Linked DNA regions of Tribolium castaneum. The protein of the gene in region 2 purifies or fractionates together with the protein of the main gene of each other region. This does not show direct contact. Links are inferred from orthologs where the notes say so. Each region holds a gene or a part of one and is shown on either strand. Other genes may lie near its edges. The genes, in order: Polr2G, MED19 and RNA polymerase II subunit B1 CTD phosphatase Rpap2.

What was found.
Region 1: the proteins of MED19 (region 2) and Polr2G purify together in Homo sapiens (affinity purification with mass spectrometry; 3 studies listed by BioGRID and IntAct, with this or other methods). This does not show direct contact. The link is inferred for Tribolium castaneum from reciprocal best matches to the Homo sapiens genes MED19 and POLR2G.
Region 3: the proteins of MED19 (region 2) and RNA polymerase II subunit B1 CTD phosphatase Rpap2 purify together in Homo sapiens (affinity purification with mass spectrometry; 3 studies listed by BioGRID and IntAct, with this or other methods). This does not show direct contact. The link is inferred for Tribolium castaneum from reciprocal best matches to the Homo sapiens genes MED19 and RPAP2.

What each region holds. Positions count from the first base shown.
Region 1 is NC_087398.1:9,592,085-9,602,202, forward strand, and holds Polr2G (DNA-directed RNA polymerase II subunit RPB7), read right to left. Parts: upstream 4,203-10,118; 5' UTR 4,076-4,202; coding exon 4,064-4,075; exon of another isoform or gene 4,015-4,063; coding exon 3,905-4,014; exon of another isoform or gene 3,854-3,904; coding exon 3,694-3,853; exon of another isoform or gene 3,642-3,693; coding exon 3,591-3,641; exon of another isoform or gene 3,542-3,590; coding exon 3,404-3,541; exon of another isoform or gene 3,356-3,403; coding exon 3,305-3,355; 3' UTR 3,251-3,304; downstream 1-3,250. Other genes in the region: uncharacterized protein LOC659090, read right to left, coding at 1-17, 65-215; ras-related protein Rab-18, read right to left, coding at 2,223-2,333, 2,380-2,505, 2,553-2,862, 2,912-2,979; uncharacterized protein LOC107397903, read left to right, coding at 4,571-4,571, 4,624-4,817, 4,868-5,577, 5,642-6,005; uncharacterized protein LOC107397902, read right to left, coding at 6,046-6,479, 6,543-7,186, 7,240-7,431, 7,493-7,625, 7,678-8,017; CXXC-type zinc finger protein 1, read left to right, coding at 8,356-8,379, 8,433-8,578, 8,629-8,973, 9,023-9,776. UniProt on the Homo sapiens protein: Core component of RNA polymerase II (Pol II), a DNA-dependent RNA polymerase which synthesizes mRNA precursors and many functional non-coding RNAs using the four ribonucleoside triphosphates as substrates.
Region 2 is NC_087395.1:19,587,699-19,597,944, forward strand, and holds MED19 (mediator of RNA polymerase II transcription subunit 19), read right to left. Parts: upstream 5,348-10,246; 5' UTR 5,275-5,347; coding exon 5,094-5,274; intron 5,042-5,093; coding exon 4,785-5,041; intron 4,734-4,784; coding exon 4,458-4,733; 3' UTR 4,359-4,457; downstream 1-4,358. Other genes in the region: RNA-binding protein cabeza, read right to left, coding at 1-110, 315-585, 785-903, 2,615-2,643, 3,155-3,212, 3,263-3,367, 3,568-3,741, 3,928-3,937; Ctl1 (choline transporter-like 1), read left to right, coding at 5,577-5,684, 5,732-6,114, 6,165-6,331, 6,380-6,609, 7,568-7,735, 7,789-7,927, 7,976-8,261, 8,307-8,469 and 1 more. UniProt on the Homo sapiens protein: Component of the Mediator complex, a coactivator involved in the regulated transcription of nearly all RNA polymerase II-dependent genes.
Region 3 is NC_087394.1:30,807,438-30,818,741, reverse strand, and holds RNA polymerase II subunit B1 CTD phosphatase Rpap2, read right to left. Parts: upstream 5,766-11,304; 5' UTR 5,645-5,765; coding exon 5,577-5,644; intron 5,520-5,576; coding exon 5,408-5,519; intron 5,359-5,407; coding exon 5,194-5,358; intron 5,147-5,193; coding exon 5,022-5,146; intron 4,978-5,021; coding exon 4,156-4,977; intron 4,107-4,155; coding exon 3,957-4,106; intron 3,911-3,956; coding exon 3,742-3,910; 3' UTR 3,716-3,741; downstream 1-3,715. Other genes in the region: Ns4 (guanine nucleotide-binding protein-like 1), read left to right, coding at 1-360, 409-633, 1,197-1,444; uncharacterized protein LOC662435, read right to left, coding at 1,495-1,664, 1,717-1,884, 1,934-2,187, 2,235-2,381, 2,431-2,573, 2,620-2,868, 2,917-3,087, 3,132-3,236 and 2 more; Ubc7 (ubiquitin-conjugating enzyme E2 G2), read left to right, coding at 10,423-10,465, 10,517-10,598, 10,643-10,761, 10,811-10,951, 10,998-11,116.

The DNA.
Region 1 (10,118 bases), on a different chromosome or scaffold from region 2:
AACTCCGAAAATGTGGTCTATAAAAACAAAATAAGTTGAAACACTATGGCCAAAGTTTACAAACCAAAGCTGAAGACGTCTCCAAACTTTTGCCCATTGTCGTCAATTTGGAAAATGTTGTTCTTTTGGGTGCCCCACTGCACCTGAAGCTTTTTGGCCTCCTCACTCGCGATGAGGGGACGTATTCTTATTGCTACTTGTATATTTGTAGACATTTCTGTGGTTTAAAAAAGGATATAATCATGAACACAAAGAAACAGTAAACTTATTGGGTCATTGTCACTGTTACACGTAACTGCTGAATCAAATCGTAATATCAAACACAATCTTATCAATTAGTGCATAAAACAATTATAATTAACTTAAAAGCAGTTTTCAAACTTATAAAACAAACGGTGAAAAACGTCAACAATTAATTTAAAAATGCGCTTGCGTCAAACATGAAAATACAAGGTGCGAGGTATAAGGTGTACGCACTGTTTCGAAAACACAAATACTAAATACCACGACAAGTTTATTTAAATTTGCGCAAATTATTTCCATAAAACTATAGTCTAAAAAAAGCCAACGTAATTCAAATGCCGATTAGGTACATCTTTTAAGTATCTTTTCTTAAATTTACCAATACCCACTAATTGCTTTCTGTACCAACTTTTAATTTAAAGACCTTAAAAACATAAAGTTACCAGATTTTTGAAATTCTGTTAATCAACCTTTTCTAATCAATTATTTTTGTTTTTGATTATGCTTTAAAGCTAAAAACTAGCACAAACTAGTTGTAGTTGAATCAGAACAAAATCTGTTTAAATAAATTGTGGAACAGTTCACCTTTGTCACTTTTATAATTTGAGGTTAAGTCCATTTGGGGCTCATGAATTGTGTCAGTTGTCAGTCCCTTTATTGTTTGTAAGCTATTATAAAATTTTTAAATCTTGAAACAAAATGAGCAAAAGTGATAAGTGGGGAAGTGTGTGTCGAGCATGTCTCTCAGTCAGCAATGATTTTTTCCCAATTTTTGAAACTGAACAGTTGGGGATCAGTCCAGTCTCCATGCTGCAAAATTTATCACTTGAGGTTTGAAAAACTGAGAATATCACCCCAAATAACTCAAAATTTTAGCTAAGCGACAATGTAGATTTGCCCCGGAATTTGTGCCATTCTTGTTACACAAAGCTACGAATAGGGAACGACTTTGTGGAAATTTTTAAAAAATCACAAGAGACGTTACAAAACAGCCTGGACACAATTCAAACACAATTTGAAGAATTTGGCAACGATACGGAAAGTTTTATTATTGAATGTGAGGACGGTAGTAGGAAAAACAAACAGTACGATTCAGATGACCAAGACTATTTAATAAAACGGTCAGTCGAACTGACCCAACAGTACAAAAACAACAAATGGAACGGCGATAGTGACTCTGATAATTGTTCCATAGACAGTGAAACAGTTGACTCTGACCACGCAACAGAGCCAGCTGAAGAGAAAAAATCGTGTTCTAGAACCACAGTTCTAAGTTGTCCAGTTTGCCCAAAAACCTTCAAGAGATTTACTTTGTTCCGTTCACACTTACACTCACACAGTGGCCAAATAAACTGTGGGCCATGTTCACGCCAGTTCCACGATACGGAAGAATACATCAATCACTACCAAATGAAACACAGGTTTCAATGCAACATTTGCCAAAAATCATTTCTGTCAAGGGGCTCATACAGCAAACATAAATATACACACAGTAACGCAACTCCTAGATTTAATTGTCCGATATCAGACTGTCCAAAGGTGTTCAGCATAAAGCAGTCTCTGCACAACCACGTGGCCACAATACACAGCGAAAGAAGAAACTTCTTGTGTAATATTTGTGGCGCTTCTTTTAAAAATCACGATAACTTGCGGTATCACATGAAAAAACATACGGGAGCTCCACATTTGTGCACTTATTGTGGAAGGACGTTTATGCAAGCCGGTCATTTGAAATACCACATGTGGAAACACACAGGGGTGAAGCCTTACAAGTGTGGTAAATGCCATAAAGGTTTTGTGTCCAAGTGGGTGTTGACAATGCATGTGAAGAAGAACTGTGGGCAAGTGTAAAACGACAGTAGTTTCAACTTAATTTAATGTGTTCTGTTTCACATTCACATGACTATAAATAATTGAAAATATATTAATTTGTTATTCTAAAATTATTTGGGATAAAAGCAGCACAAATAGAAGAGTATTTAAGTCAAGCTACAGTAGCAAGAGCTAGAATCTGAAGGATGATCCTTATTATCCACCTGGAAGTTTCCATTTAATGCAAATGATTCCCAAAGCCCTGGAGTTTGTATTATCTAAAAAATTCGATTAGTGATCACGAAGTTGTGACTTAATCCATACTTTATGCACTAGTTCCTCAAAAGCGCACTGGACCCCGTCTCTGGTTTTGGCGCTTGCTTCAATGTACAGTGTTTGGTGTCTTCTAGCGAATTTCATCGCTTCTTCCCTGTTCACTTCCCGATTTTCCTGAAAGTCATTATTACACACATGAAGCCTTGGAAGTGATTATTTACTTTATCAATTTTATTTCCCACAATCATTTTGACTATGTTCGCTTTCGTCGAGTATGTTTCCAGTTCGTTCAACCATGTTTCCAGTTTCGCAAATGTGGAATAGTTGGTGACATCATAAACTAAAATAGCACCTTGTGCATCGCGGTAATAAGAGGGTGTTAATGTTCGGAATCGCTCCTGACCAGCTGTGTCCCATATTGCCAGCTTTACGGTGTTGTCATCGACTGTGAGTTTTTTGGTTTTAAAATCAACGCCAATTGTTAGCGTTTGATCAGGATCGAAGTTGTCTTCAGTAAAGCGGACTAAAATGCTAAGTAGGTGGTAGTAAGTGGGGTAAATAGTTTGGTTTCTTGTTCTACCTGGATTTCCCGACGCCACTCTCTCCAATTATCAGGATTTTTAACGTCGTCAACACCTCTTCGTCCATTACTAATCAACAATGGGGATTACGCGTAGTTATGAAACTAATGCGGAAAACAATATTTTCGTGGTTTCTGGAAGTAATGCGATTCTTCTACAATAACTGGCACTGAATTTTGTTGAAACCAATTATAACTTTACGATTAAAAAAAAATTTAACAAATTTTAATGACAATTACTTGACATTGACATGTTTACAACAGTAAAACAGATTTCTGCATTGCCTGCAGTCTGCAACTAAACTTTGAGAAGCGGGTAATTTGAAAAGAAACGCCATATAGTGATTGAAAAAACTTTTTATTGACTTAAAATACATTAAAACGCCCTTACTTCTAGTTACTTATCAAACCTAAATAATCGTCCATCAAAGTACCAATTGCAAACTAAAAAAGAATCGTAAAAAATTGGAACTGAAATATTTGATTTATTACTATTCCAGTGGCATCCACACGTGTACCAACTATTTTCAATCTAATTTCTCCTTCAGCATGAATAACAACATCCTCATCTTTGGTTTTGTAACACTGAGGATTTACATTTGGACAAAACTCCATCTCTGCCGGTATAGACTAAAAAATAGTGTCACAATATTATCACACCCTTTAAAAAAAAACTCACATGATGTGAGATAAAGCATGATAAAGGTCCAATTTCTGCAAACATTCCCACCTAGAAAAAACCCAATCTTGTAAAAAAAGAAGTGAAAATATTCCGTAATCACTTTGTTAACTTGCCGTACGACAGCATCAAGCACTTCTCCCTTAAATGGTCTGAAAACTATAGCTTTATACTTTACTGGATACACCACATATCCCTGGCCAGGTAAAATAAGGCCAGCCCCTATGCTATCTATCGTGGTTACAGCAATTACAAAACCGTATCTAAAATTAAAGAATGAAGATAAACACTTTTAAGTAAATTTGAATACAGACTTTCCCGTACAGGTCCCTTCGACTTCTGTATACAGCTTGGTTTTCACCTTTTCAAGTAGCTGTGGGCCGAAATATTGCGGGTGTAATAAAATTTCATGCTCCAACGATATCTAAAAAGTATTGTGTATAAAACAGTGATTTATTTAGTCGTAATATTACATGATAAAACATTTTTTTTGTTTAAAAACACAAACAATTCCGCGTTAATTTGCCGCTCAAATCTAAGGTTATGTTTTTGTTGGCAGTTGTATCAAATACCAACCCAACAAAGCGCTAATAATTAAAATTAGTAATTTATTTTTGTTGTTCAATGTTATTAAGTTGTAAAAGTCCATTCCATACTTAACAAAATGATTATTTAATCATTCCTATTGTTATCTCTTATTGTTAAGACACCTAAATTTTAAAATACGCGCTATCAGTCGTGACGTCACCTCCCCACTCTTATTACGGTAGGTCAGTTGCTCAAAGCTAAACAACCAGTCTTTTACATGTGGTGTAATACGTTTTTCGGTTTTTTGGTTGTGTTTGTGCGTTAATAACGTGTCAAATAGCTGCAGCGGGTGTAATTTGTGCCACTAGAGACTTTAATTTAATTTAGAAGTGACTTTTTGTGAAAATACGAACTTTATAAAAGAATACAGGGAACCACGTTGTCGGTGAGAAAGTGAGTAAGCTTTAATTATACTTTGAGAAACTATTATATTTATGCATTTTAGTGGCAGAAAAGCACATTGTTAAGTTTCACTTTATTGCGAAATTTTTTGGGGACGGTAATCGCTTTTTAGTTCGGGGAGAAAATGCTTTTACCAGCGGTCACGTCACCAAATTTAGGTTTGATGGCACAGTACAACCGATGAGAATTTCTGCAGAAGTTCTACCGAGCATGAAAAAGCTAAATTATACTGTGGAGGTTTGTATTTATTTAACTGTTAGACATTTCTTCTACAAAGTGTGTTTTAGATTTCATATGACCTAGAAGAAGGGGTTAAGACGGCACATTGTACCTGCCCAAGGGGCAACGTGGCTTGCCATCATATGGCTGCAGCATTATATTATGCTCATTATAATGTAAGTGCTACTGACATTGAGTGTCAGTGGAGTGCCCCATCAAAAACAACACCACAAACAGAAGTCATTAAGTTAGCTGATGTTTACAAGCCGAAATTATCAAACTATACGGCACTGTCTAGGTCCTCTACTGAGGACGAAATTATTCAGTTCCGTGCCGAAATAGGCGTCACGAATGTGGTGGGCTTCACTTGGCTCCTAAGACCAGAAGCAAGTGAAGAAGCCAGAAAAATTATTGCAGATATCGAAGAAATTCTACAAAGCTTAGAATACGTGCAGGCCATAGACAAACAAAAGTTTCTTTTGGAGAAGTGCAGAATAGATGAGGCACGCATTAAACTGGTTGAGGCGTGCACTCGGGGCCAACATGTTAACGAAAATTGGCATGTAGCAAGGAAACATCGTTTAACGGCCAGCAGGTTTGGCATGGTACTATCTGCTTGCAGTAGACGAAGATTCCCACCCTCTTTATTTAAAAATTTGGCGGAAGGCTATTCGCTTGACAGGGTTGCTGCTGTGCAGTGGGGTAAGACCCACGAGAAGACAGCGCTCAGAGAATTTGAAGAAGCGACGAATCTTAAAGTCCAAGAGACGGGATTTTGGTAGGTCGAAAATAATTAACACGTATAACTTAGATGAATAATGTAATATTACTTTTTTTTGTAGGTTGGAAGAATCAGGCTTTTTGGGAGCAAGTCCTGATGGATTAGTGGAAGAAGATGGGATTCTCGAAATTAAATGCCCATATAAATATAGGGACACTGACAGTTTGTCTGAAGCCCTGAAGGATAAAAAATATTTTTATTGGAGGGATGAAAATGAGGACATTAATCTTAACAGCAATCACAATTATTACCACCAAGTACAGGGGCAAATGCACATCACTGGTCGAAGTATCTGCTACTTTGTCGTGTGGACACCAAAGTGCACAGAGATATTTCAAATTGAAAAAGATCCGGGGTGGTCAGAAAATATCAATATTTTAAAAGAATTTTATCTTGACCAATATATTTCCTTTATTTCACAATAATAAACTGTATATAAATAGATGGTTTTTATTTTACATTATTTTAATCATCACAATCCTGAAACAATTCTGCTACCTCTTTAATTAATGGAAATTGGAGGTTTGTTAAAGCGGCAGTCGCTTTAAAAACAATATCTCCATAGTGGCACAAAGACTCTGGCAAAAAATTTAAAATATGATAACATTTTAATCGGCGTATTGCCCTTTCGACGTGTATTCTTGCACGTGCAATATTTTCGGTACACTTAACTTGCTCTGGTGTAAATTGGACATTTGATAAAAAAGGTGGAATATTCAAAGTGACCCCTGGTGGCAGAATATTTTGGATCAAAAATCCCTTATCGGCTAAAATCATATCTCCAGTTTTTAACATGTCGATTATTCCACAATTTAAAACAACTTTTTGATCAGAAGTTGATCCCACGTATAAATCACTTACAAATGTGATGACACCATTGGGTGCAACTCCAATTAGCCCTTTGAAAGTATTATGATGTTTGTAAGTACTATATGTTAATTTCTGTGTTGACATAGACTTACGTGATACCACAGTGAAAATTTCGGTACAATCTAGAACTGCTCTACAATTAGTAAAATTGCTAAAACATGTTGGCAAGCAAGATTTATTTTTTTCGCGCGAAGGCATTGTCGTCATAAACTGTTTATATAAAATTTCATATATTACATGGACAAATGTTAAAATAATATTAGAAACTGTGCTTTGGGCAACCCCAAAGCGTTGCGCCAAATCAAGTTGAGGGAAATTGAGTCGTAATTTTACTAGGGTTAAAAAGAGTTGGTCAATTCTAGTTAACTTTTGGACTGTCCATTTGTGGTAATATTTTATGTCCAACTTTTCGATTAAGTGAAACAATGCTTCGAAAATCTGGCTATTGGGAAGACCGGTATATAAAACAATGAGTTTGTCATTTCCTTGAACATTTTCATAGCAAAATCGTACTGTCAGATATTGTATTTTTGCTTTAAGTTCAGCATTTTCCTTTTTGAGAAAATACATTTCTGCTTCAAGAGCCGCATGTGACACCAAGGGTGCTTGCACACCCATAGATTCTAACGGAGCATCTTGAATTATATCTGCTGGTGCTGCAACTACGGCTGTAGACGTCGATGGCACTTCCTCTAAATTCATTGTCGATGGTACTGTTTCTTCCGGTATATCAACACTATTCAAATGATCAAATTGTAAATCAATTTAAAACTAGGATTCACTTTTTACCTTAATGATTCAGCGGAACTAGAACAAGAAGGGAGTCCTTGTTTTTTCATCTTTTTTTTTTCTGGAGATTCCACTTGAAAATAGGCTCTTTTTGCGATATTGTGCAAAAATAATTCAGGACCATTTTCCTTTCTTCCATCCCGAAAATGGCAGCTGCAAACGTAGGCTCCTGGTCCGGGTTCTACATCTCTTCTACATTTAACAATGAAACAAGCAATTAAAAATTAATATCAAAACATCTATTAAAAATTACCTCAACAATTTTTTCCATAGTGCTCGTTCTTTTCCCGACTTAGGAAAACTAAAAAAATGGCATTTATCGCGAGTACTATAGTGTTTGCAATCTGGAGCCCAACACATTCCCATAGTTGTGATGTAAAAACCTACTACACATGAACTATCAAAGTATCGCAACAAAATATTATTCACAAATCATACCTAATGATGTACCACAAAAATGAGATAATGTCTTGGAAAAACAGAATTTTAAAAATTCAAGAACACGAAGATATGGAGAACGATCGGAAAAAACACGATAACAAAAGACACTCACGAAAGAAGCACAGAACTCACAACCCGTACTACTTTCAACCATGTATGTGCCTGAACCCTCTACCCTCGTATACCTGCTATTCATCCCTCGTGATGGGGGAGGGGGACAGAAAACAACCCGTTTATTGGGGTTGCGCCGGTTGCACCCCATGAATTCGTCATTCAGAAGAAATCCAATGTCATTAGTGTGGCAAACCATTTTTCCCTCAGTTTTAAAAGGCCACATAATAATTTACATCAATATGATGTCCAAATTAAGAAAAACTGAATTTTGAAGTTTGAAAAAAGTTAGGTTAGAAAAGGATTTATGTGTTCAACTTACAGAAATATTAGCTCAGTTGCTAAAATCTTTAAGAAACGACATTGCATTTTTCATAGCTATCATTTCTCTGTAAAAGTAATGTTCCTACACTTCTAGCATTAAAGAAATACGAAAAACTTTTAAATGCCCATAAGAAAAGCATTGAAAATGGCGATTGTTTAGCTTTAAGGTGCTGACCTACCTCAAATGTCTAACAGAGCTAGGAAAAGTGGCTAAAAGAAGCAAGGTTAAGTTAATTGAAGATGTCTCGAAAACGCGATATTTCGGTAATTTTTGGCATAAACCGGACAAAACTGTGTTTAATTTGCCTTGTTTTTAGCGCGAAGAGATCGCTAAACAGTTTCTGTTACCGGAGCGTCAATCCAAAATCGACACCCTCCTCAAGCAAGATGGTCAAGCTTATTGCATTTGTCGCTCCTCGGACAGCTCCCGTTTCATGATTGCGTGTGACGCCTGTGAAGAATGGTAAAAAACCACCTGCATGCCAACACATTGTTCAAATCATGCATTTCTAGGTACCACGGCGATTGCATGAACATCTCCGAAAAGGAGGCCAAAATGATCAAACAATACATTTGTATTCGCTGTTCCGAGGAGGACTCAACTCTGCAGACTCGTTGGCGGACCAAACGCGACGAAATCGCCAGTGCCAACACCAACACCGAGGAGCGCAAAGCCCGCAAACGCAAAGAACGAGGTGACACCAAAAACGACAAAAAAATGAAAAAATGCGGGGACTGTATGGGGTGTTACCGCACCGAGGACTGCGGGCGGTGCGACGTGTGCACGAGGCGGAGCCGTCACGGCTCCCCGCGCAACAAGGAGCGGTGCAAGCAGCGGATTTGCATAAATTACGGCGGGTGGGGTAGCCACGCCCCATGACTTGATTCTTGACCAATTGATTTGCAGGGGGAGGCGCAAGAGGCGGGATTCAAGCTCGGACAGGGAAGGCCCGCCCAATGCCCACCTCATGACCGACTATCCGCGCCAATGCTACGGGCCCACGTGTACCAATAGCGCCCGCTACGGCTCGAAATACTGCTCGGATCAGTGTGGCTTAAAGTTGGCAACCAATCGGATTTTGCAAGTGTTGCCACAGCGTATCCAAGAGTGGGCCCTGAGTCCCTGCTCTGCCGAAGAGTCCAATATCAAAGCTCTCGACCAAGTCAGGAAGCAACAGTTCGAAGTCAAACAGATTTTGCAAGAGTTGGACAGCCGGCATCGCGAATTGGACGCGATTATCGAGCGCGCCAAGAGCGCCACCATTGATCCGAACGCCGATTTCGACAACGACGAAGAGTCGGAAGTGTCGACCATGTATTGCATAACATGCGGACTCGAAATACATTCGAAAACGGCCATCAAACACATGGAAAAGTGTTTCAACAAGTACGAATCTCAAGCGAGTTTCGGGAGTATTTTTAAAACCAGAATTGAGGGGAATAACATGTTTTGCGATTTTTATAATCCAGCTAATCGGACTTATTGTAAAAGATTGAGGGTTTTGTGCCCAGAGCATTGCAAGGATCCGAAAATCGGCGAATATGAAGTCTGTGGCTGTCCATTGGTCACCAACGTTTTCGATCTGACAGGGGAGTTTTGTCGAGCGCCGAAAAAATCATGCGTTAAGCATCACGTTTGGGAGAAATTGAGACGGGCTGAGGTAAGATATTAAAAAAAAATGAAGTATTAATGCTACAATTAAGAAAGTTGCTCGAAAAAATCTACTTTTCCATCTTTTTTGCTTAGTAGAATTTGTATTGTATTGCAATATAGCTCAGGGTGGAATGTTAAGGCCGGCAAAAATATTTTGATTTTGATTTTGAAAAAAATACCTAGTAAATAGACGGGTTGCGTTTTTTTAAATTAATTGATGAAATTATTAGTTTTCGTCGTTTTTTTTTACTTTTTAAGTTCTTAATTGTTTAGTTTTAAAAAGTTTGTAGTTGTAGTTTCAATTCATGTTCATAGAAAATTCACCATCAATAATGGAAGAAAAAGCTTA
Region 2 (10,246 bases):
GTTGCCACAGTCTGGGTTTGGACATTTCCAGTCTCCTTCGCGGCTTTCGCGGTCTCGGCCACCGCCACCACCGCCGCCGCCGCTACCGCCTCCACCACCACCGCCGAAACCTATACCAAACAATTATTGTTTGCCAATCAAATAAAAAAAATGTTTCCCTAGACAGGATACATCAGAAGCAACCAAACTGCTACTGTGTGTTTAATGGGGAATTAATCTGCCCCTTAAAATAAAAACAGATTTTGGCCTATTTTAGACAAATCTGGGTCGGAAGGGGTATTAATTTCTTTTAAAAAAATTGCAAACTCACGTACCTCCATCTCGGCCTCTTGGGCCTCCTCCAAAACCGCCCCCGCGGCCGCCACCTCTTCCACCTCCGCGGCCGCCACCGCCACTCCAATTATCCTTTTTCGTGGCCAACTGTACCCTTATTTGAGTACCACCGAATTCTTTCCCGTCGAACCAAGAAATTGCTGATTGAGCTGCATTGGAATCGTCATACGTAACAGTGGCTTCACCCTTTGAAAGTCCGGTCTGTTTATCTTTATACAACCAAATCTTCCGTTTCTGGGTTTTCTTGTCCATCTAATCGGAACGAAATAATCATTTCAAATTTGTCAAAAATGGAATTCTTTGTAGCAGATTGAATACACTTGTTTGCAAATATTTCTTGCAATCAAGGAATAGCATCTGTCATAATATTGCGACACATCAAAATTGAACTTGGTCAAGAAAGTGAATCCAAGCACAGAGTGCAGGTCGCTGAGTTTAGTCAAATACTTACTTTAATCACGCCAATCGAACCAAAATGTTGAGCAATTTCGTCTTCGGTGAGATTTGGATTCATTCCAGACACAAAAATCGTGTCGACTTGAACCACCAAGTTACTGCCGCCGCCATTATCTGGAAATTAATACGAAAATGATGTCAAGGGTGAAAAATAATAATTTTACTAAAATTAATTGTTGCGCCAACTAACTCAGTTCTCAAAAACTGTTTCACATCTTATGGTGTGTAAAAACAATACTATATACCTTTTCTCTTACTCTCTCACTCTGAATAAACCTTAAACTTGACCATAACGCACCTTGAAATAAATACCAATTTTTTAATTTAAGACCATTGCGTTTTTGATGCCATTTTACCACGCAATGAAGAAAAAAACCTTCTACAAAAAATAAAGTATGCACTTAGCGCTCAAACGGACAGCATTAAAAGTACTCCTCAATCGAAATTTGTCAAATACGTATCACAATATACCCAATAGAACCTTTTTATTTAATACCAATGAATATAAAAGGAAAAACTTTATTATCCTTTTACCTTTAATATATATATATTAAAATCATAGTACCTCATAAAACCATTCGTAACTTTTTGAAATCCCGATGTATAACAGGGTGATTAAAAAATGAAGGATTAACTCTTACAGGGTGATAAAAGACGTTCAGTTAAGCATAATAATCAATTTTTTTTGCAACCGTATTAATTCTTAGTATTTCTTTTTCCTTAGCAACCGTATTAATTCTTGCGCATTTCTTTCCCATATTGTTGAATTCATTCTTAAATTTGGTAAATTATAAATGTTTTATACGTATTATAGGTAGAGAATTTTTTCAATAATTATCTAATTTTATAAAATCTCTCGAGAGATTTAAGATTACTTCATCTTAACCCAAAGATATAACTTTGTAAAAAGCTATATCTAGTGAAGAAAAAAAGGATCACAATTTTTTTTGTCATAGGAACTTTTAGCTTAGTTGGATGTATTCATCACCATCTAAACGATATATAGTCGGAGACTTTTGAATCACCCTGTACACGAGAAAAATACTATTATGTATTCTTTTACCTTTACTCTATCAATAAAAAACAATGTACTCAATAAGACCTTTCTTTTTCAAACGCCAATGAAAATAGAAGGAGATACTAAATATAAATCTTAAAACCACCTATAAAACTAATCCAAAAACTAGATTTAATCAAATGGACCAAAGATTTTCTTTGAGAACATCTAAAGGTTACTGACAAAACATTAATTACTCAAATTTTTAAAATTTGCGAAAAAGAAAATAATAAAGTATCAATGTTAACAACCATATCTAATAAAAAAATAATAATAATAATAATAATAAGAAATATTAGAATCGCAACTGACGTTTAAAATTCTTTATAAAAACTTGACCAATCGAAACCCAAAGATTTTCTAATAAACATTTTCTGTAATGATTTTGTAAGTTACTCCAATGCTTTATATTTTTGTATAAATGTACAAAAAATTGCAAATACGAAAGAAGTTACCTAATCAGCAAAGAGGAAACAATGAAATGTTGCAACACTTTTCGAAGATAAACAACTTGTCAATTATAGCAACGCACCCTAACATTCGCAGGTGAATAGTGGAAGAGCTGTTTACGTATGATTATTTAGTATTCACATTATAATCGCGGGTCTAAGTTTTGAAACAAGTCCAATAATGGAACACCAAATAATCAAAATGTGTGGGAAATTATAAAACGTAAATAAAAATAATGCAGCTCTTCCAAAAACCAATAAAAATACCAATTAAAAAGTGTACAAAAATGCACTGGTCACAGTGACTCAGTGCTTTTACCTTTGTTATAACCACCCCTGTTGCCGCCTCTAAAACAGAAGTAAAACATCAGTAGTTGTCGAGAGAATGGAGGGGGGTGAAAAACACACACTTCACCAACCATTTTGTTGGCATACACATTGTCTTCATCCACGAAGATCACCTATTTCTAGTTGTTGTCACGTCTATGTACGATGTTTACCTTATTTTTAAACTCTCAAAGATTTTATTATACACCTCAATAACATAACAACCATTTAATTGTAGTAACAACCAACTCAACCTTTAAGGACCGTACCAAAAATAAATACCTCAGGAAAAACCACCTGTTATAATTTAACTCAAGTTTTAACGGCCATTTTCGGCCACCAACAACAAACACAGACGTGTGTATTACAACAAAATACTTACACTATTTAAACTCTGTAAGCAAACTGATATTAATACAGTTTCAACGATTCTTTGACAATAAATACCCATTCATTCATTTTTTATCATTTTACTACCTCCCATCCAAAGTGTAATACCAACAAAGTAAAAGAACAAAAACCGATAACTTACCCATAAGAATCACGTCGATCTAGAGGCCTTTTGTCAAAATCGCCACGGTCTCGGCCTCCTAAACCAAAAATAATTAATTACAAACAACACACAAAACTATGAATGTACCTCCATAGCCGCCACCACCGCCGCCGCCATAACCGCCACTATTGCCGTAGCCACCGCCTCCGCCAGAGTTGTAACCACCTCCTTGGTTATAACCGCCGCCGCCACCTGGAACAATTGACGGTAGTATAGCAAAAAAACAAAACAATTCTTTCAAAAGTAATGTATAGGCGAATGTCTACCCCTTCTCATATCAAGATAAGAAGGGACTATCAATTCCCTAATTATTCTGCGACATAGTAGGAGGTTTCAAGTTTATTAAACAAACTCAAACCATGCCTATGTCGCCCCACATCACTGTTTCTTACCTTGACCGCCGCCATAGCCGCCGCCAGACGAGCGTCCTTGATTCCAAGATCCGCCGCCGCCGCCGGCACCTCCACCTCCCCCGCCCGGGGGGTTGAAACCGCCGGTCGGCGGTGCCCCGTACGTATTGGGATACGCAGTACTGGGGGGCGGTTGGGAATAGTCGGCGTACGATCCTGCAAAAGTGGTTTGTACATAAATTACCCAAATAACGAAAAATCGATAATAATGAAATTAGAGCAAGCCGACGTGAAAAATGCGAACTACCACAACTTCGTAATGTGTTAAGTAGTCGAAATTTGAATACACGAGGTGATTTCGTACAGGGATGAGCGAGATTTTTTAAAAATCGGGATACTTACGATCGCCCATCTTCTACCGTTGGGATAATCGAACAAACAGGAGGAAAATGGATGCGAGGGAAAAGACGCTACGGATTGGGGGCTTGTGATTGGTCGGCGCTAACAGCCCTGCCAACCCCACCAAAAAAACACACTAAATAAAGCACGCCAAAATATTAAATTTTCCACAAACAACCTTGTTTTATATTCTCAGTTCCACTTGAATACCGTCGAGGTACTTAAAAACAACATTTGTGATGGATATAAATTGTAATAATAAGTTTGTATGAAACACAGCTGGAGAACTTGTTGTGGCAGCACTGAAAACCTTATCAGAGTTCAGGGTCGGCCTAAGGGCATTTGTAGGCCCTCAAATTTATTATTTTTTGATAATCATGAATTTAATTAATCTAGTGGTGCTAGCTTTGCTAAAACGACCAGTAAAAACTTAATAAAAATAACAGTCTGTTTATTTTCAAAAATAATAAACAATAAATAATAATAGATCTTAAACCTAGGGTAAGTTGGAATTATTCACAATCCAAAGATCTTCACGAATTTGAGTGTTGGCTGGGCGTTAGGCCCCCACTGTGTTCAGGACTGTGTTTCTGCTTTTTTCTCTTCTTTTCCTTTTTCCTCTTCTTCCGTTCTTTATCTTCGTCGTGTCGTTTCTGTTTTTTATGCTTCTTCTCGTGTGTATCACTTCCAGCATCGGTAATGGTAGTCTCCTGACTTGGAAGCCCCCCATCTTTGTGTTTGTGTTTTTTGTGTTTATTTTTATGCTTTTTCATAGGCGCCGCATTTGCGTAGCGGTATTGTTCAGGGAGCTAAAATCCAATACTCAACAAAACACATTAAAGGGAAATTATCAAGCTTACCGCCCCAGGGTGTAGTCTAAACCCATCCAGTTGGATGCTAGTCAATGGTAACAACTCCTTGCCCCCAATTGGAGGCTTCTCAATCACTGATCTTAGCGAACTGTTATCATGCTGTCCAGGAGAGTCAATAACGCCAGGCAAAGTTGGCAAAAACGAAGATAACTGTTCCTTGAGTTTTTTCCCACTGAATTTGCTGTAAGAGTGCTCAAGGCCATAATAGGCCATCAAATTCGTCGCTCCTGTTAGTTCCGACTCTCCTACAACCACCGTCCGCGTGATTTAAACGACTTCAAGCCTTGTCTTGCTTACCTGGAGGCTCTTTCATCAAATAGAAAGGTCCACTAGGGACAATTGAAGGGTTCTTTCCTAACAAAATTGTCGTTTTTAATGTTCCTGACGAATCCTGACGTGAAACGACAGGGGAACGAGCCCCTCTAGGCGAAGATTTGGGCGAATATTGTTCCACTTTACGAAACTGATCGCCCATCATCTTACAACTTCATCGTTTTGCAACAACGATGCAGCTGGAAATGGGAAATGTCACTTCAGCATCACGTACCAACACAAAATCGTCAAACAAACAAACAAATCAATTGTTACCCTGGTAATTTTCACGGTCTGGCGTTTGGAACCCTGCTAGTTTGGTAACTTTAGGTTTAGTTTGGTTGGCGAGATTGTGCAATTGTTACTGTTGCTAAGATACCGCGTCGAAGCCGCCGCCCCCAAAACATTGCTGGTTTTCTCAGTGAAAACATGCGTCTTTTGTGAAAAAAGTGGTTTGAGTTAACGAAAATGGGTTGTTGCGAGTCGAAAAAGGAGCCCGAGCGGGAAGAACCCGCTCAGAGAGGGTGCACCGACGTGTTTTGGTTGTGTTTGTACATTGCGTTTTGGTTACTAATGGTAAATAACCTTGATTGGTGTGTAATTTGCCTCATTAATATTTTTAGGTTTTAATTGCGGCGTTCTCCTTTGTCTACGGCAATCCCATCAGAATTATAAACGGCTATGACTCATTTGGGAACATTTGCGGGACAAAAAATAACAGAAAAATGTCCAATTTGGAAGTATCAGGACTGGACACTTCAGACAAACAATTTTTGCTCTTCTACGATATTAAAGAGCTGAAACAGTCGCTGAAGATATGCGTAAAACAGTGTCCCACGGAGACGTTAAAAAAAGTTGAAGATATCCAGAAATATTACCAAAAAACTGGCGTCAGTTTGTGTAGATATGATTTTAATTATGACGATTTTAAGAACAAGAGTATTGCGAATAAGGAGATTCTGAGTAGCTATTTAGGGCCGTGTCCGGCACTTCCTATTTACGAAAGGTATTTCCCCTAAACTTGTGTTCTATAAAGATAAAACTGGTTTTCTAAAGCACCCCAGTTCTCAACCGTTGCGTTCCTAAATCATTCCAAGATGCAGGCGAAGCAATTTTGAGCAATTTTTACGAAGCTTTGAACAGTTGGGACACACTTGAGCAAATTTTGGGCGACATATACAGCACCTGGAAGGAAATCCTTTATTTAACGTTTTTATCACTATGTGAGCCTTTGGATAGTCACAGGAAAATTTGTACAGTTTGATTTTCAGTTTTTTCGCTGTTAACTATCTCAATACTGCATCTACTGGCCCATTTAGTGTCGTACATAATCATGATTTTGTTCACAATTGCGAGCATCTTGGGCACAGCGTTTTTGTGGTACACTTATTTTGATATTAAGTATGATTTGGATAAGACGAACAAACACATGCTTTTGATGGAGTCAATTCGCAACGAAACGGCCTTTTTGTGGTACTCAATCATCGCCACCGTTATCACAGTAAGAGAAATAATTAAAACTTATCGGGATGTCGTTCATATAGTGAACGAAATAGCCTGTAAAATAACTCAAAATAGTCCGTAAAGTAGTGGAATACATACTTTTCTAACGAAATCGAGAATCAGCCTGCAAACCGACCCATATAGTTTAAAATGTACCTTCTTTATTTTCATTTTCTAACACTTAATTTTTTTCATTGATTACGATACAAGGTGAATTTGAACGTAATACCATTGGGAGCTTATTCTATAGAATTAAGTTTTTTGTAATAGAAAGTGAAGTTAACAAGGATTGTTCCTAATGTGTATAATGTCATTTGCAAAATGTTTTAAAATTTACATGATTTGAGGAATTATCTTGACACTGAAATATATTTTTTAACACTTATAACATAACGCTGCTCTACATAATACACTTTATGGACTATCTTGTCTTGTCTGTACTGACTACTCATATTTATAACTACGGGGATTTCAGTGCCGAAAAATACTATTTTACGGACTGTTGTGGGTTACGTGTGCTATGTAAGTTTTGGGATTTTTTTACTTTAGGTACATTTATGCAAATTAAATCTACATCTAAAATAATGGTACAGTTTTTGTGTAACGTATTGTGTTTTTTGGACGGTGTTTATGTTAACTTTTCTTATCTTTTGTTATATATTCTGCGTCTTAGTTGTGCTGCTTTTCAAGCTTCCCATTCATATATAATAATAATAATTCATATAATATTGTGTTCAAAAGCCCACATAAAATTTTTGTTATTGAGACTTTCAATAACAACTCTCGGTATTAACTGCTTTAACCCTGGTAGAAGTCGTTATACAAAAAAGTTTGGCAACATCTTTAAGAAACCCTTGTACTTATTTTAAAGAATTGAAAAACTTTTTCCAAAGCTTACGTAACATTCGTTATTTCGTCCTCGTTGCGGACAACTTCAGAAAAATAGCTGTTTTTAGGTCATAATTTTATTAATTGTTGCTGTGATGCGAAAACAAGTCAATTTTTTGTCGGACTTGTTCAAAGAAACGTCCAAATGTTTACTCCACCTCCCGGCTCTGTTTTTGCAACCGATTTTAACATTTATAATCCTCGTTTTATTCTTCATGTTTTGGATTTTCGTTGTGGTACGTCCCACGTTCACCAGTTTTCGTAGTTAAATTAATAAAAAAACTTCCAGTTATGCTTGGCTACGGCTTACTACCCTGGAACCTCCCGAATCAATCGCTTTTCTAACGAGTCCTTCACCACCCCTGTGAGCCATACGGAACCGGTGGCCAAGTTGGGCAACATTTCTTTAACCGAAAAATTCCTTGAAAGTATTCATTTCGCTTTTGTACTTTCTTTGTTTTATTAATTACTTTCAGAAATGACAGTGGTCGAGTTTACCGACCCAACATGGGTGAAATACATGTGGTGGGTCTATTTTATCGGTCTCATATGGACGTGTGAGTTTATTATGGGTTGCCAGCAGATGGTAATCGCTGGGGCAGTGGCCCATTGGTTCTACCGCCACAAATACAAAGACAACTCGCACGTTTCGTACGCCATTTGTAAATTAATAAAATACCATTTAGGGTCGGTCGCCATTGGGTCACTTTTGATTACGATTTTCAAAGTCCCGAGATTGATTTTAATGTTTTTACATGAAAAGTAAGCGCAATTTTTGAATTTTCGTGAACTTATAAAAAATTTCAGATTGAAATACAATTCGGATAAAGGCAGCGAATGCGCGTCTTGTCTGCTGAAATGTTGCATTTGCTGTTTCTGGTGCCTGGAAAAATTCATCCGATATTTGAACCACAACGCTTACACTGTTATTGCCATCGATGGAGTTAATTTCTGCTCAGCTGCTGGGACGGTAAGTTTCAAATGTATTTTTTTTAAATAGTCCATGAAAGTTATTTCCGTAATCAGTTATGAAAAGACCGATTTTGTTTAACGAACATAATGTTTGCCAAAACGAGTAAGCACAGCGAACAAGTTTTGCAAATTATGCGAGTTAAACAATAATAGGCTTCTAATAACGTATTACGTATTTTTTTTAAATTCCGTCGTAAGTTGAAAATTTATTTTTCATTGTTCTTCGATTAATAGTTTTAGAGAACATTGCAAACAAATGCAAAAATAAAGAAAAATTATAATTTAAAAGCCATTGAGAGTTTGGCGATTTCTCGGCGCCTATCAACTTCTCAGATCATTTTATATAACTTTTTATCAAAATAGTTCCACTTTTACATTTAGTTTTCAAATATTTGACATTCATCGGGCAATAACTCCGAAACTAATAAACGTAACTTTATTAGGTTCCTTGTCGTTGGATTAAAACTCTTCAATTAATCTATTTTTGTTAAAAAAAATCATTGTTCTCCGATTAATAGTTTTCATGAAAGTTGGAAACAAACGCAAAAAGTAAAAAGAATATCCAATCATTATTATCAAACTTTCAGTTTTTCAATTTGTTTAAACCCTGGATTTAAAAATCAGAATTCTGAGCCTAAACTTTTGAATTCAAAATTTCAAAATGTATTTTTATCTTTGTAAAAAATCCCAAATGACTTCCTTTCTGCATGTATTAGTTATTACCATAAACAATACTAAAGAATTTCAATTTATGAATTTAAAAAAATAAATTCACAAAGCATAGTCTTACGAGCACAAGTTTCAAGCTAAAATTAAACTCAAAAATACAAATTTTAGAAGTTATACTTAAAATGCCGAGGTGAGAAGCAAAGAATTCAAATAATATCTTAAATTTTTAGAACAGTTACTTTAATTATGATTTTAAACCAAGTAGAAATTGTGAATTAAAAAAATGAACTAATCATTGAGCCAGAACCAAAATTGTGTAAATTGGAACATGGATGTTTTTTGTTAATTTAAATTTAATTTTAGAATTGTAACTATAAGTCAAACCGAGGTTAAACTTGATACTTAAAAACATAATTTTGAATTAAAAGTTGGGTGCCTACATAATTTAAAACTCCACTGAAAATTCCATATTAAATTCGGTATGGGTTGATTTCAATATTTTTGTGATAAAATTTCTTATTTTAAAGTAGGTGAGAGTTTTCCGTGAGTTTTTATTTGTAATATACAATTTGTTTTTAATTTTTATTTATTTTATTTAATGTCAGATCCAATTTAGTTAAATTTATTCGTAGATTAAATCCACAGAAACGATTGTTATAATTATAGGCTTTTGATAACGTTTTACCTACAATATTATTAATAATTCCGTCGTAAATTGAAAATTTATTCCTGCTGTTTTATTTTTTTATGAAGAGTAAACAAATTAATTAGCATCGTCCGGTAATAAGTAACGTAATAACCCTAGGTATTAACTGACTGTACATTACGTCAAAATAGTCGTAAAATCTGACATTTGGTAACGGGATTACGAAAACAACAATTTTTTAAGTTTTTAATATTTTTTTAAGGCGTTTCAAGTCCTGTCCTCACATGCCCTGCAAGTAGCCACCATTAACGGTTTGGGCGACTTCATCCTATTCTTGGGTAAATGTCTTGTTACGGTCCTAACCGGTTGTGTGGGCCTGTTCATATTTCGGCGAAACCCGGATCTGGAATTTTACGCCGCCCCTACTTTGGTTGTGTGCATTTTTGCATTTTTTGTTGCT
Region 3 (11,304 bases), on a different chromosome or scaffold from region 2:
AAAACGATGAAGACGAGAAAGTTGAAATTGGAGAAACAGTTCAAATGAAAGCAGTGGACACGAGTTACTTCGAACACGAAAAATACAAAAACGGTATTCTCACAATCGGCTGTTTGGGGCAACCCAACGTCGGCAAATCGTCACTTATTAACGCAATCATGGGGAAGAAAGTCGTCAGCGTGTCCAGAACTCCAGGCCATACGAAACACTTCCAAACAATTTTTTTAACGCCCAATGTGCGGCTGTGCGACTGTCCTGGTCTAGTCTTTCCGTCGAAAACACCAAAGGTTATACAGGTTTTGATGGGGAGTTTCCCCATCGCCCAACTTAGGGAGCCGTTCACAACGATAAAGTATTTAGGTATTGTTTTTAATTTTTGTTCTTGTGAGTTTTGAGAATTTTTTATAGCGGAACGTATGGATCTACCAAATATGCTGAGGATTGAACATCCAGAAAATGACGATACTTGGTGTGCCATGGACATTTGTGATGGCTGGGCCAAAAAACGGGGTTTCCTGACAGCCAAAGCCGCCAGGTTGGACAGCTACAGAGCTGCAAATGATTTACTGAGGATGGCTTTGGACGGGAAAATTTGCCTGTGTCTCAGGCCACCCAAGTACTCAAATAAAAAAGGTAGTTGACATGTCGAACAACGTTATTTTTTGTATAAGATGTCTCATTGCTTCTTTTTTTTATTTCATTTGACTTCGTTTGGAACATACGGAATATTTTAATTGAAAAATGTAGTTTTTGAAGAAAATTGCAATCGTTTCCTCATAATAAATTCTATCGTTGCGATATAATTTTTTTGGGGTAACTGGAAGTATTTTTTGACTAGCATTAAAACTTGAAACTCCCAAGTTTAATAGTTGTTTAATAATTTTTAATTTTGTGGCTATATGTAAAGATTTTTGATTACTTTGTACGTTTATGTGCCTGTCTTACAAACTCGTATCAAATATGATTCAGAATCCTGCTCATCAGCATGTAACCAATACAAAAAGTTGTCTTTATTTATCTCTTGACATAAAAGATAAAATAAAAGGTTTTCAGTTGAATAACATTTGGAATATGTTTAGAAGGCATACGTGAATCACTGATTTTTGTCCAAGATCTAGCTAATAAGAAAATCATGAAAATTCCGGGCAAACGCTGGTTGAAAAGAAATTGAAACTGCGTTATGTTTTATTTGTTAGATTATTGGGCCTCACACCCGGAGATCGAGAAAGTGAAGTGGATTCAGGCCAAATCTGACGATTCCACTCAGCTCGCAGACGACAAAGACTACCTCTCTGATGCTTCAGATGAAGACAACGTCCCGGGCTCCTCCGGTGACCACAAAGACCGAAGCAGTGAAGAAAGCGAAGACGAAGAAACTGACTCAGATGAAGAGCCGACGAATTACGCCCACAATAAATTTGCAGCGTTGGCAGACGACGATTGAAACAACCACGATGTTGAGTATTTTTATTAATAATTTATCATTAAATCCCATTAATTTTTTTGCTGCTTTTGCATTTTCTTCCACTTGTTGAACGGAACGACAATTAGTGGAACTAAATCTTCGTTTTTCGTATTCGCTGCAACGATTTCCTGACTCTGTTTTTTAATATCCTCCCTTGTCAGTTGCTCACTGGCTTCAACATATAAACCCTCCAACAAGGCTACAATTAACAATTAAATGAACGCATCCGTGTTTGCGTTTTGTGCAATTACAAGCTTCACTCAGGGGTGCCTCAGACTGGTCTGCCAGAATCATTCGCTCCTGCATCATTGATTCAATATTTCGAAAAGCCTCATCGGACTTTGGCTCGTGTTTGAGCGCAAAGTAGTGTGACATTAAGGGAGTGAATTTGGCCACCAAAATTGGCACAATTTTTGATCCTAAAACACTGATTTAGTTACATTTATACAAAAATAACCCTCAAGTAACCGTCGATTTCATCTTCGACAATTTCCTGTGGTTTGTCCTTCCTCTCGGCCAAAACACCAAAAGGGTGTGAGCTAGGAGCAGGTTTTTTCTTAGTTTCATCCGACAGTTCATACGAGACTTGTAAAAGTTGCCGCAAACCTATGCGAATATTTGCAGCTATTGTTCGCTTGATTTGTAGCAGTTTTGCATATCTTTTTTTTTCACTCCTGAGTCTCTCCACTTCATCCTTTAATTCCGTCTTCCTTGCTCTGTATCTGGAATTTCAACTTTATCAAAAATTCATTTGTAATGTAAAAATTACTCGACAGTTGTCTCATTCATCGTATTCTTCAAAACCGAGTTCATTAAATTAGCGTGGTTGGTTTTGTTCAACATGATGTCTCTATCGCGTTCACATTTTTTTGTCAGGCGCTTCAGACGCCGTTTTTGCTTGAGCTGTTCTTCCAGACTTGAATATTGTCATTAGCAAAAACAAGAAACAAATCTTTCATTCTCACCAAGGATATATCGTATCATAAGACCGTGCCAGCGTTGTGTTTTTAAGATAGACAAGGGTTTTTTCAACCTGGCCCACATCTCGCCGCAGATTTTCCATGCTGGCGGAATCCCTGATACTTTTAGCACATGTTGTGAGGTCGCTCTAGAAAATCTAAACAGTCGGAGGGTTTTAATACCAAACAAATTACATCTTTTCGCAACAACAGCTTAATGCTAGCAGTCGCACGGTCAATGTGTTCTTGCAAAACGCGAATGTCAGTCTTACGAGTGGTCATATCTTTGATTATAATCTTTTCCAAAGTGTCGTATTCTTGTCTCCTGTCGTCCAAGTATTCCGTGGCGAGTTGTCCCAGTTTGGTAGCGCCCAGGAAGCATTTGCTTTGGCTGAAGCCGTCGTACTTTACCGTTGCTATAATCGCGTCAAAGTATAAAGCGTCCTAAAGGCAACAATTTCAAATAAATTGACTCCAAAACACTACAAATACTTTTTTCATAATGTCGATTATCTCGCGGTAGATGTGATAGATCGCCGAGGCGCCTTCTTTGCGCAAAATAGCGTCCTGTAATTTGCCGGTTATAATCTGCGCCTCTTTCTCCTGTTTGATTTGGCCGAGGAATGCGTATTTTAGGCGGTCCTCCAGCAGCGCTTGCTCCAACTGTAACTCCGGTCACAAAACTATAAGTTGAATTGTTTCGTCACCTTTAGATCTATCAGTTTTTGCGACCGCATCTTTTTCTCGTATTTCAACCGGTCCAGGACCTTGCGTCTGTTAAAATTACGTTGTTTAATTTCCTCAATCACTTTCTACAACAGAGATTGGAAGAAAAGTAGAGATTTTTAAGCGAAACCTTCGGCTGTGAATTTTGGAAGGCCAACTGAAGCTCCCGGTGTTCGGCTAAAGTGTTGCGCAGTTTTTGTTTATCGCCCCTAATTTGGTTGTCCAGCTCCCTTCGATCATTGTAAACCGCCCGTTGCAAGTCTTTAATAAGCCGCGTCAGTTTTCTCCGAGTCACATTTGTGTCGAGTTCGATAATCTTCCGGTCTCTAGCTAAAAACACAGTCAGGAACTGGGTTTAAGACAATTTTTCAATTACTGTAAAGACTGATGAGTCCCTTGTACTGATTTATCTTGTCTTTTGTTGTCCATTTGTCGGACTGCATCCCATGGAGCTTCACCTTTTTGGCCGAAAACATGTTAACGTTTAAATTCATTTTGAAACGCGAAAAACCCACGGAAAAAATCAAACCACGCGCATCTTTCAACGTAACGTAAAAAACGATCGTTGCTACTTGATACATTTTATTAAAATTATTTACAAATGTAATTTTCCACAAAGGTATCGATATCAAAAAGAATGTTCAAGGTATCACTGACTATTTGGGTTTTGTTGGGGAGTGAAGACAGCCAGGTGTTTAACTGACTTTTGGACGCCTCCTGGTCCAGAAGCTTGCGCAAGTTTTCGTCCCTCACGGCCAGGCTGGAACATATCATTAGAGAGAGACTAAACCACTGGTTGTGCTCACATTTTCAGCAAAATTATAGCAATGTAGGTCCAAATTGCGGGTTTGAAGACAATGTTGTCCGCTTTCAGACTGAAAGTCTTGACCAGGGATTGCAAATCTGACAAAACCAAGCTCGGACTTATCCTCAAAGTTTGGAATAAAGTTTGTACTCTGTAAAAATTATTTGATAAGTTGTGCTCATGTCATTAGGAATACGTACGTTTTGTTGAGTGAATTTAGGAAGATTTTTCTTCTTAACGCGTTTTGTGAGTTCACATCGACCAAGGGCAGCACTGCCGGTTGTTCCTCTTCTTCATTAGTCGTGTCTTCCTTTTTCGAGGGGAAGTTTTTGTCTTCCTGGATATGTATTTCGCCACTGTAGAAACACTTCACCTTTAAGTCGATTTCGCGGCTTTCTTCCTTTAGTTGTCGATAGTCAGGGATTGGTTTCAAGGCCTGGTTTCCGACAACGGCTTTGTCAAATTTTTCTTCGGCCAATTCTCTTAAATGCAGCTTTCTGCAAATGTCGATGTATCGTTTCTGTTGCTCCACTTGCAGTTGTGATATTTTCAGAGCGTCAAAGTAGTGGCTTAGTTTTTGACTATCCAGCTTTTCTTTTACTTTTTCTTCGCCGTGAACAAACATGAACGTTTCTAGAGTTAACCACTCTTTAATACATTTGTAGATGTGTGATTCCACGTCAGTGGCGTTTGTTTGTTTAGTTTGAGCTAACGGTTTGTCTTTTATTTTCGGGGTGTTTTTATTTTCCTTATTTAGTATTTCTACAGATTCTTTCATTTCGTCCATTTTTTCTCCTGATTCGACTTGTTCTTCTTCCTCATTTTCGTTAATGGTTTTCATTGCATTTCTTTGGTACTTTCTGGGTTTCTTTTTTTGCTTTATTTTCTCCTCCTCTTGAGGGTTTAACTCCAATTCTTCTGCCTCATCTAATGACATTTGAGTAAAACTGGATACTGAAGTAAAATATGGTTCCACAGCTGGTTTTATTACACCCTGATCTATCATCTCTCCTGGCAGACCCCTGAAATATTTTTTACAAAATGTTATTACACACGAATTGTTTACTTTTCTGATTTGTTGAGGAGCGTGTAATGGGCCTTTTCTTGATACTTTCTAAGCCATAACGGACTGGTGTCTATTTGGCCTTTGATATGAAGACTGGCGCGATAGCAAAAATTGCTACAATAATTCTACAAACAGACAATAAAAATGGCATCACAGCTGATTTATCTCGTACCTTGCGATCTGTTATGTCATAAACCTTGTTGTTTTTAGTGGAAATGTAAAATTGTTTCTTTGGCATGTCTGGAATTTTTTTGGAACAAAGTGGATATCCGCACAGCTTGCTGATAGCTCTTTCCTCGACAATGTCTTGGTAATGAGACTGGTTAATGTAGGGTAACTTTATAAAACGAATTAGTAACTACGCTGCACCATCCTATTTTACTTACACATTTGAACAAAGCATCTGACCTCATTTTCCCTTCTATTGCAAACTGAAGTATTTGCAGTGCTTTCGCATCACACTCCTTTTTTATTTGAGCAGTAATAAGAACTTCTTTCCTAGAAACAATTAGTTAATTGGGGCAAGTTAATCGTTTTTTATTAGTGAAAACTCACTTAACCTGGGTTGGTCCCTCTTTGCAGTTGCGCGAAATACGAATATAATCTTCGAGCGAATCTTGCATACTTTTTAATTAAAGAAATTAAATCTGTTCATCAAAAACTAAAAAAAAATTGAAGAACAGTGCATAAGTAGCATAACCTTCCACACTTGTCAAATTGACAGGCTGTTTAACGTCACGATTCACGTGACCTCAATCATCTCGTTGATTGGTGGAAATTGATGTCACGTGATTAAATTCGTGCATTTTATCGATTTTTTAATAAATGTTAAATGTTGGCAATTGTTTTGGTACTAGTTGTGGTGACAGTTAATCCATAATTTAAGTTTAATTTAAATATTAGTTCTAAATTATTGTAAAATTTTACTAATATTTTGAATAAAAATTTTTGAGGTAGGCAATTCTTATGCGCGACCGTAAATAATTGGTTGCATACACAAACCGAAGTAAATTTGTAAATTTAAAATTCTTAGGATTAATGTTACAAAAACACAAAAAGTACCGAAATTTAAAGACTTTTTTTGCGTTTCTACGATTTTAATACACATTTTGATTTTAATTTTAAAATTTTAAAAACAATAATTATTTTTCGCTGTAAATCGCAAAATTTCAAAATGGATTTCAACCTGCCAAAAAAGTTATTTTAATAAAATCTAAATTATTTATACATTAACAATGTAGATTTTTTAAGAAGATTACAAGGATTACAAATTTTGAACAATTTTGAATTTTTGCAATTTAAAAATGTTTTTTAAAGAGTTACAGATTACTGTAACTTATTGTTTTACAAAATGACGTATAGAAGCACAATCTTTATAGTTTTCTGTAACATCATATTTCGGCGTCTAACCCTTAGATGTCACGACCTACATAATATACTAATGACATCTAGGTGTTTGGTATCAAAGTAAAATTTTATAAAATTCAATATGTTATCTTTGCACCTTGTTTTAAAATTTCATTATAGTTTCCTGTAAATTTTTTAACACTAAGAAATAATTTTGGAATAATTTAAAACCAAAATGTGTATTAGGATTACAAGAACGCAATAAGGTCTTTACATTTTCTACCTCTTGGCATTTCTTTGATTTTGGTACAAACTTTTAATCTCATTTAAAAAAAAAATTATTTTTGACAGAATAGACAGTAAATTTGCATAAAATTTTAAAATTTATAAAATAAGTGATACAGAAACGCAAACAGTACTTAAAAGATTTTATTGCGTTTTTACGATTTTAGTATACACTTTAATGTTAACTTTTACTTTAATCTGTATTATTTTTACTGCCGTATAATTGGTTGCCTATACAACTTGTCAAACATTAAATCTAAAGAAGTTATTTTAATAAAATCCAAATTATTTAAACAATAACAGTAGATTTTTTTAAGAGGATTACAAGATTTTTGACAATTTTAAATTTTTGCTATTAAAAATGTCTTTAAGAAAGTTACAGATTACTGTAACTTACTGTTTTGTGAAATTACGAATAGAGCAGAAGCTGTTTTTATAGTTTTCTGTAAAGTTGTATTTTGCCATCTAACCACTAGATGTCACGACCTACAATTAAAAAAACTAGTGCCATCTAGTTGTGCATTTAAGTACGATTTTAGAATTTATTATTTTAAAACAGTGAATTATAGTAACCAGTAAATTTTTGAGAACCATCTTAAAAATAATTTTGGAATAATTTAATTTTGGATCAGGATTAGAGGCATGCAAGAAGGTCGTTACATTTTCACCTCTTGGGATTAAGTTTTAATTTGTTTTGAGTTTTTTGAACTTGATTTTAGGTTGTGGGATTCTTCTCGACTACAGTTTTCGAATAGTGCGACTCTTGGACCATCATTTAGTTTGGAAGTATTAACGCATGTTTGTCATAGAGGTTTAGTGACAGCGAAGATGCCACAGAACTTGTTAATTTTCCGAAATAATTTTTGTATATATTTGTTGGATATTATGTAGGTACTCACTGTGATTTATTTTATTACAATTTCTTTTTAAATAATGTCACAGTGTGTTGTTACCGTTTATATTTCTTCATAAATAACTTTTAGTGAGAAAATGAACTCAATAATTATAGTTTTTTTTTTAATAAAGTGTTGAAATGTGTTGCTGCCTTTTATTTTTGGTCATAAACAATTTTTAATGGAAAAAATATGCAACCCAGCATACACATAAATGCGTTGCTGGTTGCAAACAAAAATTGCTAGAAAATTTTGACCTCCTTGCGTTCCTATGATCCTGATACGAAATCCTTTTTTAAAATTTTGCAGAATTTCATGTAAATTTTCTCGCACTTATCAAAATTTTTATAAAAATTGAAGAAAATCTGCTATTCACAAAATGCGAAATATCTTCGTTCCTGTTAGAGATAGAGGGGTAGTTCTGCCCTTTTGAAAACCCCACAGCCCCGTAGTACTTTTCCTGGGCTATCGAATAGGCTAGGTCCCGTTCCCGCATCTCCCTCAGGAACCGAGATAGCACTGCACATTTTTAAATCGGGAATCGAAGTACATGACGTAATAGTACTTTAAAAGTTATGTAAACCTGCAAAATTTCAAGTTGCTACGATAACAGGAAGTGTCTCAAATTTAAGTTGAAAATATTACAATTTCAAAATGACAACAAACAAAGCAAGTTGGATAAAAACTCTGATAAAAAACTTGGGCTTTTTTGTTGAAAATCTTTATTTAATGCGATTTATTTGGAACATATTTTACGAGCTAATTTAGGGGCACTTCCTGTTGTCATAACAACTTGAAATTTTGCATGCTTACATAACTTTTGAAGCACTATTACGTCATGTACTTCGATTCCCGATTTAAAAATGTGCAATGCTATTTCCGTTCCTAATTGAGATAGGGCAACGGGACCTAGCCTATTCGATAGCCCAGGAAAAATACTACGGGGCGGTAGCGTTTTCAAAAGGGCAGAACCATCCCTCTATCTCCTACAGGAACGAAGATATTTCGCATTTTGTGAGTTGCAGATTTTCTTCAATTTTTATAAAAATTTTTGTGAGTGCGAGAAAATTTATGTGAAATTCAGCAAAATTTTAAAAATGGATTTCGTATCAGGATCACAGGAACGCAAAAGGGTAATGAGAAAAGATATATAACTGAAAATACACGCATATGTATAACTGGTTGCATGCAAACGCCGCTAAAAATTTCGAGACCTCTTTGCGTTCCTATGATCCTGATACGAAATCCATTTTTAAAATTTTGCAGAATTTTACCTAAATTTTCCTTCACTTATAAAATTTTTTATAAAAATTGAAGAAAATCTGCGATTCACAAAATGCGAAATAACTTCGTTCCTGTTAGAGATAGAGGGGTAGTTCTGCCCTTTTGAAAACCCTACCGCCCCGTAGTATTTTTCCTGGGCTATCGAATGGAATAGGTCCCGTTCCCGTATCTCCCTCAGGAACCGAGATAGCACTGCACATTTTTAAATCGGGAATCGAAGTACATGACGTAATAGTGCTTCAAAAGTTATGTAAGCATGCAAAATTTGAAGTTGCTACGATAACAGGAAGTGTCTCAAACTTATGTTCAAAATATTTATAATTTCGAAAGCCAATAAACAAAACAGGTTGAAAAAAAACTCTAATAAAAAATTTAGGCTTTTTTGTTGAAAGTCTTTATTTAATGCGATTTGTTTGGAACATATTTTACGAGTTAATTTTGGGGCACTTCCTGTTGTCGTAGCAACTTGAGATTTTACATGCACACGTAACTTTTGGAGCACAATTACGTCATGTACTTCGATTCCTGATTTAAAAATGTGCAGTGCTATCTCGGTTCCTGAGGGAGATACGGGAACGGGACCTATTCCATTCGATAGCCCAGGAAAAATACTACGGGGCGGTAGGGTTTTCAAAAGGACAGAACCACCCCTCTATCTCCAACAGAAACGAAGATATTTCGCATTTTGTAAATTGCAGATTTTCTTCAATTTTTATAAAAATTTTGATAATGAAATAAAATTTTAGTAAAATTCAGCAAAATTTTAAAAATGGATTTCGTATCAGGATCACAGGAACGCAAAAGGGTAATGAGAAATTATAAATAACTTAAAATACACGCAGATGTATAACTGGTTGCATGTAAACGCCGCTAAAAATTTCGTGGCCTCTTTGCGTTCCTATGATCCTGATACGAAATCCATTTTTAAAATTTTGCAGAATTTCACATAAATTTTCTAGCACTCACAAATTTTTTTATAAAAACTGAAGAAAATCTGAAATTCACAAAATGCGAAATATCTTCGTTCCTGTTAGAGATAGAGGGGCGGTGAAAACCCTACTGAGCCGTAGTATTTTTCCTGGGCTATCGAATGGGATAGGTCCCGTTCCCGTATCTCAATCAGGAACCGAGGTAGCACTGCACATTTTTTAATCGGGAATCGAAGTACATGACGTAATAGTGCTCCAAAAGTTATGTAAACATGTAAAATCTCAAGTTGCTAACATAACAGAAAGTGCCTCAAACTTAAACTTTAAAACGTCTTAAACTATTTTTTTTTAAATTGTAGGTAGTGACATTTGGGTGTCAAATCTTAAAGTACCTTTTATAGAGATCTATAAAACATTTAAAAATAATAAAATCTAAGGTAGTGACATCTAAGCAATGACTGCAAAACTACGCTCTTATAGTAACCTGTAAATTGTCAAAGTACCATCTACTGAGTCTGATCTATAGCTGTTCGATGGAGTTGGTGATTGCAGTGCACTTTTTTTTAAGAATTGACAAACGCTCACGTAAAATATTATAAAGAATAATTAAATTCATTCAATGCACATTTTTGGGTGCTCATATTGTTCAAATATTGATAAAAAATGGCAGGCTCAGCTCTAAGACGCCTTATGGCCGAGTACAAGCGTAAGATGCAAGCCTAACCTCAAACTATTTGCATTCGTTTTATGTTTCTAGAACTGACTCTGAACCCCCCAGAAGGTATCATTGCTGGTCCAATAAACGAAGAAAATTTCTTCGAGTGGGAAGCGTTGATAACGTAAGTTGTCTTTGTAGGGAAACTTTCATATGACGGGTTTTTAGTGGCCCTGAGGGGACATGTTTTGAGGGCGGTGTTTTCCCAGCTAAACTCATTTTCCCCCCGGACTATCCCTTAAGCCCTCCTAAAATGCAGTTCACCTGCGAAATGTTTCACCCTAATAGTAAGTATATTAGGGTTTTTGTAACAGGAGATGAATCAGCAGATTTTAGTTTATGCTGATGGGCGAGTATGTATTTCCATTTTGCACGCCCCTGGAGATGACCCTATGGGCTATGAGTCAAGTGCTGAGAGATGGTCTCCTGTACAGAGTGTTGAAAAAATTCTTCTCTCAGTTGTCAGCATGCTTGCAGGTACGTTTCTTCACAAAACAGTAACAAAATTCAACATGATTTTTAGAACCTAATGATGAGAGTGGAGCAAATGTTGATGCTGCGAAAATGTGGCGGGAAAATAGGGAGGAATTTAACAGAATAGCGGAGCGGATTGTAAGGCGAACGCTTGGGATTCCTACGTGAATTTTTACAAATTTTAACTGAGAGTTACGTCTGTTTGTTACAATTTTAATAATTTATGGGGATTAAAGTTTAGTTTTAAAGTTCAAGACTAAGGGCCTGGCTTGTTACCGCGCTAAAGTGAGAAAAAAATTTATTTCAATATATTATTTCTGAACAACAGTTAAACCATAAACTTAGTCTGTTAGGAA